3 linked regions of the Oryctolagus cuniculus genome follow. The protein of the gene in region 1 purifies or fractionates together with the protein of each later gene. This does not show direct contact. Links are inferred from orthologs where the notes say so. Each region holds a gene or a part of one and is shown on either strand. Other genes may lie near its edges.

Region 1 (4,530 bases):
GCACCCTGAGTCTACAGCCTGTGCTGGCAGGCTAGCATGCTGTAGGACAGCACCAGCAGCCCCCCCCCCGCCCCCCCCCCCCGCCCCAAGAAGCAGCTGGAGGCAGAGGGCCAGGCAGGCCTGAGCAATCTTTATTCTGCAGAGGGACAGTGACCACAGATCCATACACGTGTGGAGGTGGGGGAGCCAGGGGCCAGTCTTTCAGGGGTGGACAGGTCCAGGCAGGGGACAGAGCCTCAGGAGGATGAGGGGCAGACAGGCAGGGGCCTAAAAAAAACAAACCACACAGAGCAGGGGTGCTGGGGGCAGCTCTCCACCCTCCCCATCCCAACCAGCACCCAGAGGGGCAACCCTAATGTGACTGGCCCAAGATCCACTGAGGAGCAGAGGGGGCTGTTTGGGCCCCTCTGGCTAGGGGCCCACATGCCTGCCCAGCCCACCAGGGGCAGCTCAGTTCAGGAGCCAGGCGCTCCCTGGGGAGAGCTTGACCAGGTCCCCCACTCCCAGGCCAATTCCCCCCTACTGCTGGCTCAGAAGCCGAAGGTTTCCTGGGAGGCGTAGACCATGTAGAGGAAGCCATCCTCGTCTTTCTCCTGCTCGTAGATGTCGGCGATGGGCGTGGACACGCTCACCATGCTGTGCTGGTTCACCAGCAGGAAGAAGGCCTGCGTGGGGTTCAGCTGCAGGCGGCGCCTGGGGCAGGCAGGAAGGGCAAACCCGTGGTGAGGGAGGGTGGCCCTGCTCCCTGCCAGAGGCCCTCACCTCCCACCCCACAAGGACTCAAGCTCGGGCCTTGGCTTTTCCCAGCTCCCCAGCACGCAGGCCCAAGGCCAGGCCTACGCCCCTGACCTCACTCCACTCCTCCAGGAGACCCGACCCAAGCCCCTCGGGCAGCTGCTGCCTGCGCACCGGATGATTTTAACCAGTTCGCTCATGTTGACGTGATCCGGGACCAGGAACTTGGTTTTGTCCAGGACTGGCAGCTGCTTCTCACCCTTGTAGCGCTCGATGATCACCTGGGAGCGGGCAGGTGGACCACAAATGAGCCAGGGCTGGGGGCGGGGCCGGGCCGGGCCGGGGCCGAGGGACTCACCGGGATCTTGCTGGGGTGCTGGTCACGAATCTGCTGCACCTCCTTACAACGGTCGGCTGCGGACAGCGGACAGCGGCGGGGCGGTGAGACCGGCCGGCCTGAGGTCCTCCCTGCGGCTCCGCCCGCCGGTCTCCGAGGGGCGGCTCCCGGCCCCGCCCCGCCCCCGCCCCCAGCCGTCCGGCCTCTCGGCCCCAGACTGGGGACACGGTGGGGAGGCGGGTAGCCCCAGCCCAGGCCAGAGCGGCCTCACAGACCCGGTAGGCCGGAGCCTGACGTCATGGGGCTGACGTCACCTGCGGCACTGGGGGGTCGGTTGCCCCCCAGGGATCTCCCACCCCCTGTCCCCGGATCGCCCGCCAGGCCTCACCAAAGCTTCGCCGCTGCTTGAAAGGCCTGTCTGAGGGCATCGCGCGGGCCCGGTGGGGCGCGCAGCCGGGACTCCGGGGCGCGCGGCTCGAGGAAGGGACTGTGATCCGGGGACTGTGATCCGGGGTCTCCGGGGACTCCGCGCCTCGCGCTCAAGGGCTCCGGGGCTCGCGCTGAACGCGGCGGCAGCGGCGGCGGGAGGTAACTCGCTCCGGTGACGTCAGGTCACAACATTCCTTAAAGGGGAGGCCGGCGCGTCGCTCCCATTGGCCCGACGCAAAAGCCGCCCGCCCAGACCATGACGTCACGGCGCCGCGGGCCTGGATTCTCTGCAGAGACGCGGAGGGGCTGGGGTCTGTGTGCGCTGGGGCGCGTCACAGTTCGGTGACATCACGGCCCGCGCGGCTCCTCTCCGGTTTAGACCGAGGTGGGAGTGAGGCGGCTGAGGGAAGGCGCGGCCTCGCCCGCATCTCGCGCCCTGGACGGCCCGTCCCCTCGGCGCTGCGGGGCCCGCGGGAGGCCTGGGGTAGGAGAACAGCCAGGCTCAGGGGACGGGGCGGTTAAACGCCAGGAAAGCACGGCGCCGGGGAGCAATGCCTGGGTCTGAGGAAGGATTCTAGAGTTCAAAAACCGAGCCGTGCAAACGCAGGCCTCAGACGATGAGGTAAGGAAGCAGGTTAGACAGCAGAAGAGAACATCGCGGAGCTGGAGGGGGCCCAGAACACCCAGAGGCCGTGGTGGAGGACAGCGGGGGCCCGTGGCAGAGGGGCAGGGAGCACCCGAGGTCCGGCCGAGCAGGGCAGCGGAGAGCAGGGGCGGGTCCCCCTACGCTGCTCAAGACCACGGCTCCCACGGAAAACCTGGACCGGGGGCCAGCGCATAAAGCTGCCTCCTGCAGTGCCGCCATCCCATATGGGCCCTGGTTCATGTCCCGGCTGCTGCTCTTCTGATCCAGCTCTCTGCTATGGCCTGGGAAAGCAGTGGAAGATGGCCCAAGTCCTTGGGCCCCTGCACCCACGTGGGAGACCCGGAAGAAGCTCCTGGCTCCTGGCTTCAGATAGGCACAGCTCTGGCCGTTGCAGCCATCTGGGGAGTGAACCAGCGGATGGAAGACTTTTCTTTCTTTTTCTCTTCCCCTCTCTCCCCTCTCTTTTCCCTCCCTCTCCTCTTCTCTCCGCCTTTCAAATAAATAAATAAATCGGGGGGGAGGGGGGGACTACCCTGGAGCAAGCCGAGCTAAAAAGTCAGCACCGAGACAGCTTTGCAGTGAATTTCAGAACTCCAAAAGCTGGATCTTAAAAGCTACCACAAAAGGATGGATTCACTTCTTTCTTTATTTTTTGACAGGCAGAGTGGACAGTGAGAGAGACAGAGAGAAAGATTTTCCTTTGCCGTTGGTTCACCCTCCAATGGCCACCGTGGCACCGAAGGCAGGAGCCAGGTGCTTCTCCTGGTCTCCCATGGGGTGCAGGGCCCAAGCACTTGGGCCATCCTCCACTGCACTCCCTGGCCACAGCAGAGAACTGGCCTGGAAGAGGGGCAACCGGGACAGAATCCGGCGCCCCGACCGGGACTAGAACCCGGTGTTCCGGCGCCGCAGGTGGAGGATTAGCCTAGTGAGCCGCGGCGCCGGCCAGGATGGATTCACTTTAAAACGTTATGCCAACAGCCAACTTCTCGGCACTAAGTGTACAAAGTTGAGAAAGATGTAATAGTACCTTCTAACCTCTAAAGGAAAAATACTGATAAGCTGTGATTTCAAGAGTTTGGGAGATGGGGGGTCCATGTTGTGGCACAGTGGGTAAAGCCCTGGCCTGCGGTGCTGGCTTTCTATATGGACACCTGGTCAGGTCCTGGCTGCCCCACTTCCAGTCCAGCTCCCTGCTAGTAAGCTTGGGAAAGCAGTAGAAATGGCCCAAGTGCTTGGGCCCCTGCACCCAAGTGGGAGACCTGGATGAAGGTCCTGGCTCCTGACTGTTGCACCCACTGGGGGAGTGAGTGAACCAGCAGATGGAAGACCTTTCTCTCTGTCTCTCCCTCTCAATGTCTGAATCTCTACCTCTAAAATAAATAAATAAATAAAATATTTTTTTAAAAAAATGACAGACTAATAGGAGGAACTGCCAATTCTGCCATTGCAGTGGGAGTTGTTTTGCGATTTGTTTATTTGAAAGGCAGAGTTATAGGAGAGAGATCTTCCATCTGTTGATTCACTCCCCCAGTGGCTGCAGTGGCTGGGGCTAGGCTGGGCTGAAGCCAGGAGCTTCTTCTGGGTCTCCCATGAGGGTGCAGGAGCCAAGCACTTGAGCCATCTTTTGCTGCTTTTTCAGGCACATTAGCAGGGAAACGGATTGGAAATGGAGCAGCTGGGACAACAACCAGTACCTCTGTGGGATGCTGGTGTTGTAGGTGGTGGTGGCTTAACCTGCTATGACACACACTGGCCCCTGTAGGCAGAGTTTTAAGACCTCTTTCACGGGGCTGGCACTGTGGCATTGTGGGTTAAGCCACTGCCTGCAGCCCAGGCATACTGTATGGGCACAGCTTGAGTCCTGGCTGCTCTACTTCCTATCCAGCTCCCTGCTAATGACCTGGGACCCCTGCACCCATGTGGGAGACCTTGAAGGAGGTCCTGGCTCCTGGCTTCAGCCTGGCCCAGGCCCTGCCATTGCAGCCATTTGTGGAGTGAACCAGCAAATGGAAGATGTGTAACTCTGACTTTCAAATAAATAAATAAATCTTTAAATACCTCTTACAGTAACCAATAAACTGAACGCCCAAAGGATTTAGAAGATATTAATACAATGACTAATGCTGGTCAGAGATGCTGAAAGGACCTTTATCGCAGCATGGTTCTTTGAATCATATAAGAGACATCTACAAAAAGTGACCAAAACAAATCTCATTAACGGATAGCAAATAGTGAATCTCACACAGGCCGTATTCTTCGACCACAGGCAAGAGCCAAAGACACTCCAAATGTTTGGAAACTTAAACCTCCTTGTAACTCTAAAGGTGAAATCATTTAGAAGTAAAAAAATATTTAGATCAAAACAAACATAAGCCAGTGC
Region 2 (4,583 bases), on another chromosome or scaffold:
GTAATAAAACAATAACTCCTTTAGAATTTTTTAGAATTTGTCTCTTTCCAAAAAGGGTTTGAAGCAGCTACAATGAGACTGCTATTCAAATGCTGCAGAATCAAGTATCTGGCTTAATACAAGAGGAAAATTTTCAAGCATAGGAAGCCCCTCTTACAACATGGTGGCAAAGGCTTATTCTTTGCAGAACGATTTCTGGCTGCCCTGTTACCTGCCAGATTCTAGCCTCAGCATGGGAGGCAGTATTTTGGGAAAAGCACGAAAGCAACTGAAATGATTAAGCACATTTCTCACTCTAGGCAAAAACTGCTTCACACACAAAAAATTCCGCACCCGATAGGGCTGTGTGTTCCTTAATCGAAAAGGGCACAACAAATAATTATCGTGGACTTGAGTATTTTTCTCAAGGTCTTTCTGAGGGGGGAAAAATCGCATCTCTTTAAAGATGGAAAGCACGGGACTAAACTCTTCTTTATTGTACTGGGGCTGAACTGTTGCAGCTTAGACTTCGGTTGTCAGTCGATAATGAATGCCGCAGATACCTTAAAGCTGTCAGAAGACACGGTGCTCGGGCTTCCAAGCGCTCCTGTCCCCCTCTGCTAACCTGCCAGGCAAGGGCGAGGCGATCGCTCCGAGAGACGCGGCTAACACTTAATCCTCGTCCTCCGGGGAGGACCTTCAGGTTTTACCGACCACTCGGGGCGGAATTAGCTAAATCTTTGAGACGAAGTATTTGCCGTGGCTACAATGTCCTGCTCCAGTTCTGCTCGAACCCTTCAGGGTTATGTATGAGAACGCAAATTCTCTAGCACCACATACACGGAGTAGTAAGCTAGGCCGATCCGAGTCCGCCAAAATGTCCGCAGAAGTGGCGAGAACAGGCGAGCCTGAGGCATCTCACACTCGGCCCTCACTGTCCTTGGGCCTAAGGAACACCTGACGCGAGCGCCGCTTCCAGTCAGGAGTGCGCGCCTCGGGGTCGCCCCCCGTCAGCAGGCAGCGCGCAAGGGCGGCGAGGGCTTCCGACGCGGCCTCTGCGCCCCCTCCCCGGGCGGGGAGCAGCCGCCCACCGCCTCAAGGCGGGCGGGGGAGGCGGGCTGCAGCCAGCTGCCGGCGAGCGCAGCGGCGGCGCCGTTTCGCCGAGTCACCGGGCGGGCGGGCGGCTGGTCCCGTGTGCCCACGCCACGTCCTCTCCGCCAGGGACGCGGTCCAAACAGGGGACGCAGGGGCAAAGAAACGGCAGCCGCCGCGCCTCAAGGTGGCCCAACGGGCACCTCACTCCCAGGAGACGCCGCATTCTCCTAGAACTTGCGCCCCATTCTGGCAGCGTCAGCCGACCCTTCCCTACCAGCATCACGTGCACCTGGAAGTACGTGGGTGGGACCCAAAGCGCCTACGGAAATGACGTAGGTCGCCCCGAGTCGCATGATGTGGCAAAATGCAAAAAAAAAAAAAAAGGAAGGGGGGGAGGGAAAAGCAGAAGCCTGGAGAAAGTGATGAGTCTAGAAAAGTAGTCCCTGCTGTTCCTCTATTTCCCCGGTGTCGCATCAGGAAGCGAGGCCCCCAGCGCACTGCGCCCCGAATCCCTGCGCCTGGCCGCGGCGCGGCGCTCCGTGGAGGGGTACATAAGGCGGAGGGGGGGTGAGGCGACGGGGCGGAGTTTTGTCGCCGGGATCCTTCCGCAGGGCTCAGCCGTTTCCGGAGTCTGCGCTGCGCCCGGTTCCGCCATTGCGGCTCTCCTGGCCCCTGGAGCCTCCGCCCCCGACCCGAGCTCTCTCGTCTGCCTGCCAGTTTCCTGCGTCCCCGGAGAGTATCCTGCCGAGCCCAGCCTCCCCCCTCCCCTTCTCCTCCTCTCCCTTCGGAGAGCCCGGGCAGCCACTGCCCCGAAGCCCCAGTGACAGGAGGAGACTCTACCCCCCGACAGCGCCATGGCCCAGATTCTTCCAATTCGTTTTCAGGAGCATCTCCAGGTGCGGCTAGATCTGGGCTGCTGCGGGCTGTGGTGACGGTGGTAGGAAGGAAGAAGCTACGGTCTGGGCCGGAGCAGGAAGGGAGGGGTGTCGGTGTTTGGCGTAGGTGGAGGAAGGGGCGCTATCTTGGAAAGCTTAAAGGGTTAAAGGATATGGGGCTTGGGTGGAAAGGACGAGAGTTGGGGTGTAAAGGCCGGCAAGCCAGGCCTGACTCTGAGGGCCTTTCTGTCTTGCTTCCTGGAAGGCAAGAACTGCGCGTGTTATCCCCCCTCCCCTTCCCGTTTTATTCAGTTCATTCATTTGGATAGGGGAGTGGGAGAGGGGAATTCTCCCGAGTTTCTTCCGGCCGGAGCAAGCATTCTCATCATCCCCTGGGCCAGTGCAGGGCTGTCACCCTCCACTGCCCATCTCTTCCCTTTCCCCCCATCGTGTCTGCACCCGGGAGTTGCGGGGCGGGTGAGTTGGGGAGGAGCAACCTTTTTTTCTTCCTCCCTCTGCGGCTCTCAACTGAGAAAGGCACCTTTCCGGGGGCGGGGGGTGGGGGTGGCGGCCGTGGCTTGTCCCTTGCCTTCCCCGAGGCAGTAGGAACAGAAGGTCACTGAAGGAATAGAATGGGGGGACGCAGTTTTCAGGGCGCGGTCAGTCTTAGAGTGCGTGGGGTCAAGGTCCCTGGGGAACTCGCTTGGTTTTCCTTTCTTGATTTCTTTGGGGGTGGTGTGGCTCTTAAATCCTTTTGAGTTCAGAACGTAGCAAAGTGTTACCTAGAGGTTATCTGGGGGGGGGGGGGTCCTCAGGAGTCCATCCGGTGGTTGTGAAATGTGTGGCTTGAGTGCCTCCGACAGGATCGCATGGAATGGAACAGAGGCCCGGGGTTAAGGACACACCTGCCCTGAGTTGGTCTGTAACTCGTTTCTTCTTGGTAGATTCTAGAGTTCTTCCGTAAGTGCCTTACCCTGGAGGCAACATTCTTACGGTTGTCTCTTTGGGCAGCTTGCCAATGGCTAGCCTAGGCAGGTGATCATTGAAGGGCTTCGCTGAATTAGGCCTCTTTTTGAGCTTCTGATGTCCCTGGTTCACCAATCCTGGATTCTCATCAGGAATAATAAATTAACTTGGTTTCTTCCCGTATGTCCCCTTAAAGAAGCCTGCCCCAGGGCCATCTACGGCAGGACTCACTTCCTAATCCGAGGATGCAGTGGTTTAAAATGAGACTGGTTCTGGTAACCTATGGGATACTTTTCCACGCAAGGAAGTTTTATGTACTTTCCCCCATTGGTGTAACAAAAGAAAGAGTCTTGTCAATAGAACAGTTAATATTCAGGCTACGAGTAAAATAATTACATATTTCTTTACAGGCATCACATTTGCTTGCACTAGCAAGACATTATTTTCCTTTAAGGTTTGAAATGTAAAGAATGCTAAATCTTTAACCCATTAAGTAAGTTAAGTAGTACAGCTTTGTTCAGTCACCCAAAACTCATGTAAAGTAATGGAATATACCTTGGCTATAAAAACAGTTTTATGAAAGGTTAACACATGTTAGGTGTGACAGAACGGGCTTGGAAAAAGTTATTTTTTGTGCTCCATCCAAGTTTAATTACTGTGATTACCTCTGTTAAAAAAGGGGTGGTAAATGAGTGTGGAGGATTAGGAAAGTACTGTTCTTGCATGAGAAGGGGAAACCCAGGCTCTTCCTCGCACTAAAGTACATCTGAAATATCTTTCTGCAGACAAATGTTTGTAATGATAACCCAAGAGAAGCTGGTGTGGCTGCTGTTTATTTTACATGGCACAGCTATAGCCCACTGGTAAATCTTGCTGACCAGTGGTGGTTTGAGTAATCACTTTTCATTTCCATTAAAGAGGAGAGGATTGTTGAGTGATCCTCAAAATTGAATCCAACTGTGTCATTGATTGAAGACAGATTTGATACAGGTGTGGTTTTGAGGTTCTGTTAATACTTGAGTGAAGCCATTTTCTTAATAATTTGAAGATTTTAAGTACAAAGCAGCTTAAGAAGTATAATTGAAAAATTCTATTACTCATTTTTTTGGAGTTCTGTATCATGCTCAAACTTAAGCTTAGCTAATATGACTGTAGACTCCAGTTGATAGTGATTAATTGCACAGAGTTCAAATTACTAAATTTTAATAATATAGCTCTTCATATTTTTATTCCTTCCCTTTTTAAAATAAGGGCTATTTTTTGATTTTTTATTTGAAAGGCAGATTTTCAGAGAGAGCTTTCATCCGCTGGTTCACACCCCAAATGGCCACAAATGCCAAAGTTGTCAGAAGCCGGTTTTTTTTTTTTCTTTTTGACAGGCAGAGTGGACAGTGAGAGAGACAGAGAGAAAGGTCTTCCTTTTTGCCGTTGGTTCACCCCACAGTGGCCGCTGCGACTGGCGTGCTGCAACCTGCGTGTTGTGCTGATCCAAAGCCAGGAGCTTCTCCTGGTCTCCCATGCGGGTGCAGGGCCCAAGCACTTGGGCCATCCTCCACTGCACTCCTGGGCCACAGCAGAGAGCTGGACTGGAAGAGGGGCAACTGGAACAGAATCCGGCACTCCGACCGGGACTAGAACCCGGTGTGCCGGCGCCGCAGGCGAAGGATT
Region 3 (4,334 bases), on another chromosome or scaffold:
CCCTGCTCCGTCCGTAGTTAGCAGGAGCTCCCGAGAGCCGGGCACTTAGGGGACAGCCGGTGACCTGGCTGCTTTGTTAGCGGAAGGGGCATTCCTGCAGCTTCTGTCCAGCACGGCCCCGGCTTCCCCTGGCCCCTGCCCTCCACAGCCCCTGGGTGCTCACTGAGGGATTAACAATAGCAGCAGCAGCCAGAGGACGCCTCGACCATGGTGGTGGTGGGGGGCGGGGGGCTGCTAGGCTGTCCGTTCTGTCCCCTCTCGGGCTTATCAGTGGTCCACAAGCAATGCTTGTGCTGGAATGGGCTTGGGCGGAAGTCATGGGCCACCGATGTCACAAGCTGATTAAAGCCACCAGGGGTCACGCCCCAGGGGGCACACTCAGACTTTTCCCTGCTCCCTCTCCGTTATGACACTGCAGAGCACCTACGGGCTGCAGGCTGAGAGATCCCCACGTGGCCCGCAGCCGGTGAGGGTGACGGGGACAGGTGCTGCCCAGCCCAGTGCACACAGGGGGTGCCCCGTCTGGGCCCAGCAGCCCCATCCCAGAGGCAGCGCCTGGCTGAGTGTGGAGCACATCCCAGTGGCTGTCCACTTCAGTGTCCTCAGCCTTGAAAACCGGAAGGAGAGGACTAGGGGCGGATGTCCCATGCTGATGGTGTTGCATGACAATCTGAAATCTGAGGCTCTGAGACACTCTCAAGGTTCCCCTGTACGCTTCTGTCAACAACAACAAACGGCCCTGGCTGGCGCACGGAACAACCAGGCTCTGGGGAAGGGGATCCCGGCGCCCGGCCAGCACACACCTGCCCATGGCACCGCCGAGGACACATCCTCGCTTGCCTATGTGCACTTGTCCGGGTCGGACCCCGGACTCAATTCACCTTGCACGGCCCCCGGACACTCTCGGAACCGAGTTCACTCTCCCACGCACGCACACCTGCTCTGGAGGGGCCGGCCCAGGGGGTCCCAGTCCACTTTCCCGCGCACTCCCTCGAAGCCAAGGCCACCTTGGCGCGCAACTGCCCCGGGCACCCAGCCGGCCACAGCGCCAACGCTCTCCAGGCCCGGGACGAGGAGGAGGGTGCGGGCGGCGCCGGCCAGAGCAGCGGCGCCCCGGACTACTTTTCGCGGACCCTCCGGACGGGCGGAGGGATCCTCATAGGGCGCGCGCGGAGGGATCCGCATAGGGCGCGCGCTCGGGGGGCGCGGTGCCGGCGACCCGGGACAGTGCGCCTGCGCCGCCGCCGCCGCCACCGCCGCCGCCGCCGGTCTGTCCGCGCGAGGGGAGCCGCCACCGCCTCGGCCCGGCGCCCACCATGGCGCAGATCCTCCCCATCCGCTTCCAGGAGCACTTCCAGGTGAGGTCGGGCCCCGACGCCGCGGCCGGGCGGGCTCCGGGGGGTGGGTCGCGCGCTGGGTCCTGTCAGCCGCGCCCCCCGGCCGGCCGGCCGGCTGACCGCCCGGGGGGCAGGCCTCTGGTCTCACGGCCCCGCGCCCCTCGCCCTGCGGTGCCGCTGGCCCCCCGCCGCAAGCCGCGGGCGGACACCTGGGTCGGGGTCCGGCTCGGGAGCCGCGCGTGCGGACGCTTTCGGGGCGCTGTCGCTCGGCGGCTCGGCGGGGGGCGCCCGGCGTCCGGAGCGCTGGGAGAGCTCGGGGGTGGGCACCGCACCGCACGCCTTGGAAACTCCGAGTCCAGCTTCCATTCTCTTCTCTGTGTCTTGCGACCCTCACCGCTGAGTTTCCGTCTGTGGATCTGTCCCGGTCCCCCCTGGTGGCTGGTGGGGCAAGACAGTCAAATCCGTCTCGGATGCGTAGGATCGGCGTTTGTTATTGCCTGTCAGTTAGCATCCCTGGTATCCAAGTACAGGTGCTTTCGTTAGGACCCTCGAGTATGGCACCTGCTAACACACCGGTGCTGTAACACCCGCGAGGTTTTGCTCTGCCGTGAGGTCCCCATTTGCTCTGCCCAGCAGATTCGTGCTGGAAGGGGGGTGGTTCAGGAAGGTGGGCGCACCTGTGAAAAGGTGTCCGCTTACAGGGGGAGGGGTTGAGGCTGCCGAGGCCCTAGCTGAGGGCTACGTGCTAAGTGCTTCCTTTGAAATCATCACAGTCCCCTAGGGTACTGGATGAGGAAGCGCCGGGGGCACCAATGTTCATTCAGCAAACCGAGAGCGGGATTCAGACTTCAGACTTCGGGCTTCTTGGCTACACAGCTGTGGCAGCTGCCAGGAATGGGGTTGATGGAGAGGTGGTACTTGGGAGTTTCAGGGGGACCGGTCCGGCCCCCTCTGTCTGTGCCTTGGAAGGGATGCCCGGATGATCCTGCCCAGATCAGTTGGGGAGTCAGCCGGTTGAGGTCGCACAGGGTGGGGGTGGAAGCCTTGAACCTCCATCTCTCTCCCTAAGCTGGGGCAGCGCCAGTCAGGCGAGGTAGCAGAGTACCTGTTGATAAAACGAGGGTACTTCGGAGAGTTCATTGGCAGTGGCATTACAAGAAGTTTGGGGCGGGCATTTAGCCCTGCAGCTGAGAAGCGCGCATCACGGATCTAGACGATGTGGGTTTGGCTCCGGCTCCCCGCTCCCGGCTCTCGCCTCCCGCCTCCCGGGAATGCATCCCCAGGGGGCAGCAGTGACGCCCCAAGTAATGGAGCTCCTGCCACCCAGGAGGGAGTCTTGCATTGAGTTCCTGGTTTCCATCTTTGGCCCCAGGCAGCCTGGACCATTGTGGGCATTTGGGGAGTGAACCAGTGGATGGGAGTTTTTTTCTCTCTGTCTCTTTCGAGAACCTAAAAAAGAAAAAAAAAATTTTTTTAAAGAGGTGAGTTTATTTTGACACAAGAAAAGGCTTTGAAATCCATGCAGTTTTTTTTTTGTACTATATATTTTTACTGAACTTTTTGTTGCATGGGTTTCAAATTTTTTTTTTTATCAAAATAAGCTTCCCTTTTTATTCTGTTTTCCACAAACTTTTTGAAGTCCCCTCATACTTACCATTTATTGGGCCATTTGTCTTTTTAAAATGTGTGTGTGTGTGTATTTATTTATTTATTTGAAAGAGTTACAGAGAAAGAGAGGTTTTCCGTCTGCTGGTTTACCCCTCCAGTGGCGGCAGTGGTCTGCTGGGGCTGGGCCAGACTGGAGCCTGGAGCCAGGAGCCAGGAGCTTCTCCTGGGTCTCCCACATGGGTGCAGGGGCCCAAGGGCTTGGACCATCCTCTGCTTTCCCAGCACATTAGCGTGGAGCTGGATCAGAAGTGGAACAGCCAGGACTCGAGCTTGATGTCCATATGGGATGCTGATGTCTCAGCCAGCAACCTTACCTACTATGCCAAACCCAGCCCCAAGAGAGAGAAGTCGGCCGGCGCCGCGGCTCACTAGGCTAATCCTCCGCCTAGCGGCGCCGGCACACCGGGTTCTAGTCCCGGTTGGGGCGCCGGATTCTGTCCCGGTTGCCCCTCTTCCAGGCCAGCTCTCTGCTGTGGCCAGGGGGTGCAGTGGAGGATGGCCCAGGTGCTTGGGCCCTGCACCCCATAGGAGACCAGGAGAAGCACCTGGCTCCTGGCTCCTGCCATCGGATCAGCGCGGTGCGCCGGCCGCAGCGCGCCGGCTGCGGCGGCCATTGGAGGGTGAACCAACGGCAAAGGAAGACCTTTCTCTCTGTCTCTCTCTCTCTCACTGTCCACTCTGCCTGTCAAAAAAAAAAAAAAGAGAGAGAGAAGTCTTCCATGTGCTGGTTCACTCCCCGTTTGTCCACAATGGCCGGAGCTGTGCCTATCCAAACTCAGGAGCCAGGAGCTTCTTTCAGGTCTCCCACACAGGTGCAGGGGCCCAAGGACTTTAGCAGGGAGCTGAATTGGAAGTGGAGCAGCTGGGTCTTGGGATGCCATCACTGCAGGCAACGGCTTTACCTGCCAAGCCCCAGGCCCAGCCCCAAGAATGGGGCCTTCTTAACCCCCAGGCTCAGTGTCTGACTTGAGCCCTTTCTTTTGGACTGGATATATTAGAGATCTCTTTTCACTGAATCTTCCTAGGAACTGATGATAATCTCGTTTTTACCATAGTTGACTCAGGTGATTTCAGAGTCAGTGACAGCTCAGATCCCACCCAAGTCTCTGCTTCCATAGCCTGAACTTAACCTGCCGATCAAATGTGCTGTTTTCTTTAAAGACAAGAAAGCAATCAGCTGTTTTAAATGTCTGTCCACGGTGTCTTGAAGGGCTGTGTTCTGTCTCTCCTTTTTTTTTTTTTTTAAGATTTTATTTATTTGAGAGGCAGAGTTGCAGACAGAGAGAGAGGTCTTCCTTCTGCTGGCTCACTTCCCAGATGGCCACGAAG

The links.
Region 2: the proteins of MAP1LC3A (region 1) and CLTC purify together in Homo sapiens (affinity purification with mass spectrometry; 3 studies listed by BioGRID and IntAct, with this or other methods). This does not show direct contact. The link is inferred for Oryctolagus cuniculus from reciprocal best matches to the Homo sapiens genes MAP1LC3A and CLTC.
Region 3: the proteins of MAP1LC3A (region 1) and CLTCL1 purify together in Homo sapiens (affinity purification with mass spectrometry; 3 studies listed by BioGRID and IntAct, with this or other methods). This does not show direct contact. The link is inferred for Oryctolagus cuniculus from reciprocal best matches to the Homo sapiens genes MAP1LC3A and CLTCL1.

The regions. Positions count from the first base shown.
Region 1 is NC_091442.1:23,538,231-23,542,760, forward strand, and holds MAP1LC3A (microtubule-associated proteins 1A/1B light chain 3A), read right to left. Parts: upstream 3,090-4,530; 5' UTR 1,501-3,089; coding exon 1,461-1,500; intron 1,150-1,460; coding exon 1,094-1,149; intron 1,017-1,093; coding exon 910-1,016; intron 694-909; coding exon 531-693; 3' UTR 524-530; exon of another isoform or gene 268-523; 3' UTR 110-267; downstream 1-109. UniProt on the Homo sapiens protein: Ubiquitin-like modifier involved in formation of autophagosomal vacuoles (autophagosomes). While LC3s are involved in elongation of the phagophore membrane, the GABARAP/GATE-16 subfamily is essential for a later stage in autophagosome maturation.
Region 2 is NC_091448.1:34,910,008-34,914,590, forward strand, and holds the start of CLTC (clathrin heavy chain 1), read left to right. Parts: upstream 1-1,456; 5' UTR 1,457-1,928; coding exon 1,929-1,970; intron 1,971-4,583. UniProt on the Homo sapiens protein: Clathrin is the major protein of the polyhedral coat of coated pits and vesicles. Two different adapter protein complexes link the clathrin lattice either to the plasma membrane or to the trans-Golgi network.
Region 3 is NC_091452.1:27,070,721-27,075,054, reverse strand, and holds the start of CLTCL1 (clathrin heavy chain 2), read left to right. Parts: upstream 1-1,207; 5' UTR 1,208-1,316; coding exon 1,317-1,358; intron 1,359-4,334. UniProt on the Homo sapiens protein: Clathrin is the major protein of the polyhedral coat of coated pits and vesicles. Two different adapter protein complexes link the clathrin lattice either to the plasma membrane or to the trans-Golgi network.